Oryzias latipes: one gene and its partner. The protein of the gene in region 1 interacts with the protein of each later gene in a pairwise test. Links are inferred from orthologs where the notes say so. Each region holds a gene or a part of one and is shown in the gene's direction. Other genes may lie near its edges. The genes, in order: janus kinase and microtubule-interacting protein 2 and clip4.

Evidence for each region.
Region 2: the proteins of janus kinase and microtubule-interacting protein 2 (region 1) and clip4 interact in binary tests that used the Homo sapiens proteins (3 or more experiments, as listed by UniProt). The two-hybrid records come from large-scale screens. The link is inferred for Oryzias latipes from reciprocal best matches to the Homo sapiens genes JAKMIP2 and CLIP4.

Annotation. Positions count from the first base shown.
Region 1 is NC_019872.2:5,582,556-5,586,380, forward strand, and holds part of janus kinase and microtubule-interacting protein 2, read left to right. Parts: coding exon 1-112; intron 113-187; coding exon 188-430; intron 431-1,484; coding exon 1,485-1,694; intron 1,695-1,846; coding exon 1,847-1,945; intron 1,946-2,518; coding exon 2,519-2,665; intron 2,666-2,732; coding exon 2,733-2,873; intron 2,874-3,825.
Region 2 is NC_019880.2:28,201,106-28,204,930, reverse strand, and holds part of clip4 (CAP-Gly domain-containing linker protein 4), read left to right. Parts: intron 1-1,413; coding exon 1,414-1,553; intron 1,554-1,792; coding exon 1,793-1,886; intron 1,887-3,825.

The DNA of each region.
Region 1 (3,825 bases):
CCTGACCCGGCAGCACGAGCAGGAGCTGGCCCGCCATGCCAAGATCAAAGACCAGGAGAACCAGAGACTCAAAGCTGCACTGAATGCCATGCGAGATGGCAGCGGCGAGAAGGTATGGTCAAGGTTGATGGCTGAAGCAAGTTTGCTGTTAAGAGATGCAAGAACACTGTATCTTTCTGCTCTTCAGGTGCGTACCGCACTCACGTTGGAGGCAAAAGAAGAGGCGCGCCGCTTCTTTGACCAGGAAAGAGTGAAGCTCCTGCAGGAGATCGCAGAGCTGAAGTCGTCTAAGAAGCAGACCGACGAGGCGCTCAGCAACATGATCCAGGCAGACAAGATGAAGGCTGGGGACCTGCGGGTGGAGCACCAGCAGCATCAGGAACAGATCTCCAAGATCAAGTGGGACTGTGAGCGGGACATTCGCAGACTGGTATGCACAAAAATGCTTGAAATAAAAACCAATCAATTTGAAACAACTGAACTAAAATGAAAATACACTCTTGATGTGGAATATTCTTGGTGCATTGTCTTAACAGTTGAAAGGCAAAATTCTTATTTAAGATACTTCTAGCAAAAAAAGCTCTATAGGTAAACAATAACGTGGTTAAAAAAAAAGGTAAAAAACTATGATTTCTAGAGGGGCAACCAATCTTGGCTGAACTGTGATTCGTACAGATCAGTAGCCACGATTCGAAACACAACGTGTACGTAAGGGTTAATGGCCGACGTAGTGTGCATTATTACTTTTTAACGCACGCCGTGGAAGGCTGAACCGTCCGACGGATGCTTCCACGAAGTGCGTTAATGGCGAAGGCCATTAACCCGCTCATGCCATGGTCACTTACAAAAGCAATACATATTAACCAGTTTCAAGATTTGGCGATATATATATATATAATGCTGATCTTTCCGATGGGTTGAATAAAGCATCAATTCAGAGAGAAAGTTCACCTCTTACCGCTTGTTTTTTTTCCAAATGATGAAGCAAAGGGTTGTTTCAAAGAAGTGATACAAAACATTGAAGCTAGGTGACCTGAACTTCTTTTTTCACCATGCGGTTATCACTGTGGTATCACTTTTTAATGTACACCCAGCAGCCAATCAGAATCGAGTATTCACCCGGACCATGGTATAACTTGACTTATTTTATTTTTTACTGGTCCTAAAAAGCTGTGAAACAATCCAAACTGAGTTTTATGATCTGTTGCACCCCTAATGAAATTAGTACTAAAAAAATCTAAATAACTTAATTAACAAAATCTCCTGCCTGATTACTAAAAAATTCAAGAAGCAGATTTCTTGTTTCTTTGCCTATGTCATACTTTTATGGCCTATGAGCTGTTAAGACATGTAAATGTTCTGTGGTCTTTGTGCTTATTCTGATTCTGAGAACTGGTTCTAATTTTACTTTGCCGGTTAAATCAAAACGAAGACAAAAACTGGAACATTTGATCTAATGACACCAGTATTTTTGTTCTTTCTAGGTAGATGAAATCAAGGCGAAAGATCGCACCATTTTTGCTCTGGAGAAGGAACTGGAGTCAACGACAGGCTTTCTGCAGAAGCTGCAGCTCCAGAAAGATGCTCTGGATGAACAGCTGTTTATAGCCAAAGAGGCCGAGTGCGGCCTGGGAAGTCCCAAAAGAGAGATTCCAGGCAGAGCTGGAGATGGAGCCGAGCACCACGGCAGCCCTGTACGAACAAAGCCACGCATTTTTGGAGCCAGTCAAACATTCACATTATTTCAAATAAACTATACTAGCCTCTTATTTTAACTACCTTTTGTATGATGTCTGGTCATGCGGTAAACCTGGATGCCTTTTTTTCCCTTTTTAATTCACTTTAGGACTTGAGGAGGAATCAGAGGCGCATTGCTGACCTGAACTCAACCATACGGAGGTTGGAGGACCGCAACTCACTGTTGGGCGATGAGAGAAATGAACTGGTATGACCAAGTTCTACAAATAAAAGTGAAATCTAACCCATTGTTTCAATATTTTTGGCCTTAACCTAACATCAGGGGTGTCCAAGCTTTGTTCAAAGAGGGCCAGATTTGGTGAGGTGAAAATGTGTGAGGCCAACCAATCAGCCTGCATGCTTTGAACATTAAAATATAAATGAACAATTTCACAATTTTTTTTTTCTTGCGCAACGGGATCATTGTCACATCTGGGTTCACATGAAATTTCACATATTATTCTCTATTAAGTACTAAAAATAAATCATGTGAACAGGAAAATAACAAATAGTGATATTAAACTGAAGTACAAACTACTGTAGTTTTGATCAGAGAACAAAAAGAGGCTCTGAAGGTCAGGTTGGTGCCACAGGTTTAAAAACGCAGTTTAGTCAATCACAATCAAGAAATCGTGGTTCTTAGAAAGTGCTGGGGCTGCATATTTATGGCAAAAGCCCAAGGATCCTATTTGGCCCACAAGACGGACTTTGGACAGGCCTTTAGACTACCCATCTTCTGACTCCTGGTCATTCCCTTTTTTTTTATGTCTCTCTCTACTAGCTAAAGCGCGTTCGTGAAACAGAAAAGCAGTGCAAGCCTCTGCTTGAAAAGAACAAACTGCTGAGTAAAAGAAATGACGACTTGACGATGACCATCCAAAAATTGGAGGAGAAGCTGAAGAACCTGACAAAAGAGAATCTGGAAATGGTTCGTACGCTAGCATCCATAACAGATTTATAGATTTTGTGATCTAACATCTTGCATGCTCCTGCAGAAAGAGAGAATGAGCTCCCATCCTCCTCTCAAGAAGCTAAAGTCACTGAATGACTTGGACCAAGCCCACGATGACCAGGAAATCACATTTCTGAAACTTCAAGTCCTGGAACAGCAAAACATGATTGATGAACTTACACGGGTAGGTTTGACTTTAAATGATTCTGATTCTGATTCTGATTCATTTCAGAATCAGAATTTCTGATTCTGATTCTGAAATGACTGGAATTTAATCGCCATTTTCTCCAGCACTTCTGCCAATTTTCAGTGTGACGGAAAATTTAGAGAGACTGGTTTTAGAACCAATTTTGTAACCCTTGTGCTATCCTAGGCACTTTAACATTGGGAGTTGGGTCATTTGGACCCCACTAGACAGTGCGCTGAACTTTTTTAATCAGTGATATGTGATCTTCAGTGGTGTCTATGGATGACATGAAATCCTCTTCACCTTTATCCACCTTTGTCATGGTAGGGAGAACACGTCAATGTAAGGGTGGGGTCATCTAAAATAGCACAAGGGTTAAGTACACCAAGACCCCTCTGTTCAGCTGTTTCTCCCAAGTGTTGTGAGAGCTTTTTCCTCACATTGTGAATGAATTTCACTGTATTTTATCACAATAAAGAAGATACTATTATCAGTAATAAATTTTCATGGCTCTTCTAGTAAAACAACGGGGAAGACATCAAAATTGCTTGTTTTTTTAATTTATAGTCTTAAACAGGAAGAAACAAGTTCCATGAGCCACACAAACTAATACTGAAAGGGCGGTGCTTGCCCAAAGCGAGTGCTGTCCTTCCTTTAGGCCCTGTTTAAAGAGAAGACCGTACTTAACATTGTTCACAAAAACAAGTGTAATCGAGTTCTAGCAATTATCTCATTCAGTCTTTTTGACATAAGAGAAAAAAATTTCGTTTACAGCCATTTGTTGACTGACTTATTGACAAAGCATGTTTGCATGTTAAGGCATAAAAGCAGATCATCATCATCAGAGTGTCTTCTCCCTTCCCAGAAAACTTTTGTTCTGAGAAAAACAAGCAGATTGATTAAAATTAACATTTCATCCAAAGTAATTCAGTTTTTATTACTACAGGGT
Region 2 (3,825 bases), on another chromosome or scaffold:
ATCAATCTCCTCCTCCTCAATCTCCTCCGTTAAAAGCAGCGTGAAAAAATCCACCATCACCAACGGGTTTGCAAAAGCTGGTCAGCTGCGTGACGGAGAGAACAGCGCATGCTCAGGAGTGAATTTACCTCTGAGTCATAGTGACTCGGCTGGCTGCACGTAAATATGTGGGAATAACATCAGCCTTTATTTTGTCGGGACACGACTGGAAACACAAATCGACGTGATCATTTTTACGGTTTTTAAGGACTGAGCAGAATTTTGCATTGAAAAGCTCACAGCCTCTGTGTGAGCTGGAGACATGTTCTCCTGCTGCTCATCACATAGAGCTGCGGGGTCGATGGCAGTCTGATGGCTCCCCCACGTTACAACGCATCCGCCCCTCATCTGCAAATCGTACAGCATTAAGTCCGATTGCTCTGCACAGACACGATTTGCTCCTCCCTGGAGCCGCCCTGGCCAGAGGTGTCGGAGATGGGAAGGGGAGCGCGCGGGGTGAGCCAGGAGCGCAGAGGCGACCGCGGCGCAACAGTGTTTGTTGTGGAAGGAAACTTCTGACGCACGTGCCGCGCTGAGGCGCGCTTTTCAGTCGCCGCTGCTTTATTTTACTGGTGTGTTTTTTTTAACCAGCCCTGTTACTCCCATAACGCTGCCGCGACACAAGCAGAAGGAGAGCTTTTCCCGTTCACCCCTCCATGCACTGCTGATACTTGCTCATTCTTAAACACGTACAACAATGTGGCGAGGCCCCGCCTTTAGCCCCTAAGACTCATGGGAAATGGGGGATCGCGGATGTAAATTTCCTCATCATAACTGAGGGATGTAATGTTGATTATATGGTTACTGTTTGTAATTTTATGTATGATACCTAGATTGTCAATAAGTAAAAAAAACTAAAAATAAATAAATAAATAAAAAAACCATAACTGAGGAACTTGTGAACAGAATAGAGTTCCATGCTTTTTAGCAGGTGTGGGTATATTCAAAGTGCATGAGCCCAAGGCAAGGCTGACTCCTCCCACAGTGTGGTTTTAAACCTCACTCAGTTTGGGAGTCAGGACGTGATTGGTCAGGTTTACTATGTTGCCTAATGCGTGCGGCTTTTACTCCAACGCGGCTTGTGTATGATTAAAAGCAGTTAAACACGTGAAAATGGGTGGGTGCGCTTTGTAGTCCGGAATTTACGGTAATAGCTGTTCATTTCTCCATAGAAGTCTATGGGGTTTTGGCTTTTTAGGACCATTGGGTACTTCCTAATTGGAACGGGAGTAGGGAAGGGTTGTTCAGTCCCATTCTTATTTTACTGTCATTGAGGGTAACTGATCCTTACATGAAATCTAAGCAAAATGAAAGGTTTGATTAGAGTTTATATGTTTACATATCTGTCATTTCTGTGTCTCCCATCACTGCCAGAGTTCTCCTTCTTCAATCCCAGCGAGCCACAATGCAAAGAGATTCTCCAGGATTCAAACACCACCATACCAGAGCTGTTTGCTGTCCTCAGGCAGTGGGTTCCCCAGGTTCAGAAAAACATCCACCTTATTGGCAGTGAGGTGATTATATAATATTTTAAACTCTTTGCCCCCCCCCCCCCCCCAATGTGATTTACTAAGTATTTTAATTGTTAATTCCGTTTCTAATAGTCTCCCATTGCATGTTTATTTTCCACATGGTCTTTATTCAGATCTTAATTCAAGCCCAGCCACTTGTCATTCATTAAATATTTGTGGATTAAATTTTTGTGACATTCGAGATCTCCTTTTGACTTGCTACATGTCTGGTCTTTGCACAGATCTTGAAGAGGGGCTGTGGAGTAAATGATCGAGATGGCCTGACAGATATGAGTCTTCTGCACTACTGTTGCAAGGCTGGGGCTCCAGGCATTGGTTAGTGCTGACTGTTGACCGAATCCGAATTCTTCCCCTGTCCCTTCTGCTTCTCCCTACCCCTACATTTAGCCCTCCAAGCGGAGAGATATAGAATAATAGTGTCCATTCGAATGTTACTAACTCTTGATGACATCATCAATAGTTGCTGGTCATCTACATTAGTGCGGAGCTGCCAGTGCTCTGAAAATACATAACATCAGTTTTATGACTTTAAAAAGTCATGCTAAAACAAAAAGTCATTACCGTAATTTCCGGACTACAAGCCGCTACTTTTTTCCTGCGCTTACAGCCCTGCGGCTTATTCAGTGACGCGGCTAATTTATGGATTTAATTAGCGGCCGCCATGTACGTACTTTCGAACTCAGTAAATAGTTTGAATTCTTTATCTAACACCAAGCACAAGGCATTTATATTCAACACACCTCTAAGCAGCCAAACAGCATGGACTTGACTTCAGGTCTTAGACACTTCAGTCATGGTTCAACAAAATGAAACACGCATGCCCGGCCGCATCCCAGAATCCTTTGGTGCCATTAGACCCAACGTGCACCAGATCGCCGTTACAATATGATGAAGCTTTCAAGTTAAAAGCAATCGTTAAAAGCAGCGTAAAAAAGTCCACCGTCACCAACGGGTTTGGAAAAGCCGGTTTGCTGCGTGACGGAGAGAACAGCGCATGGAGTGAATTTACACTCCATTTACGGTTTCTAAGGAAACCGTAAAAGCGGAATTTTGCTTTGAAAAACTCACAGCCTCCGTGTGAGCTGGAGACATCTTCTCCTGCTGATTGAGCTGCGGGGCCGATGGCAGTCTGAAGGCTCCCACACGTAACAACGCATCCGCCCCTCATACACAAAACGTACAGTATTAAGTCAGATTGCTTTGCACAGAAACGATTTGCTCCGTTCACCGGCGCAACGGGGACGAAGTGCTCCTCCTTGAAGCCGCCCTGGCCAGAGGTGTCGGAGTAGATAGGAAGGGGAGACAAGGAGCGCGCGGGGCGGGAGCGGAGCGCAGAGGCGTCCGCGGAGTGCAGAGGCTTCTGAATTCTGACGCACGCGCCGCACTGAGGCGCGCGTATCACGCTGAGGCGCGCGCTTTTCAGTCGCCGCTGCTGTATTTTACCGGTGTGTTTTTTAACCAGCCCTGTTACTCCCATAACGCTGCCGCGACACAAGCGGAAGGAGAGCTGTACCCGTTCACCCCTCCATGCACTGCTGATACTTGCTCATTCTTAAACACGTACAACAGAATGGCGAGCCGGGCATTGGCCCCGCCTTTAGCCCCTAAGACTCATGGGAAATGTGGAATCGCGGATGTAAATTTCCTCATCATAACTGAGGGATGTAATATTGATTATATGGTTACTGTTTGTAATTTTATGTATGATACCTAGATTGTCAATAAGTAAAAAAAAATGAAATAAAAACACCATAACTGAGGAACTTGTGAACAGAATAGAGGTCCATGCTGTTTGACAGATGTCGATACACCCAAATACGTGACCCAGAGGCAAAGCTGGAACCACCCACAATGTGCTAATGAATTGCACTCACTCTGGGATACTGGCCGTGATCTGTCAGGATGACAATATCGCCTAACACATGCGCGGCTTGTACTCTGACGCGGCTTGTGTATGCATAAAATTAATTAAACACGTGAAAATGGGTGGGTGCGGCTAGTAATCGGGTGCGCTTTGTAGTCCGGAATTTACAGTACTTACATTTAAATGTACATTTTTTGGGCTTCAGAGCAAACCTACGTGAAAAATGAATTTTTCTTCTGTGGCACAGAGCGACACAGAGAAATATTCAGCCCAAATCCCTTCAGCTTCCCCTTAAAAGAACAAGTTCAGAAACCACTACAGCTCCAAATGTCCCTACAATTGGAGCAATAGGGAGGAACCAGAGGGGTGTCAGATAAATGCATCCAGACA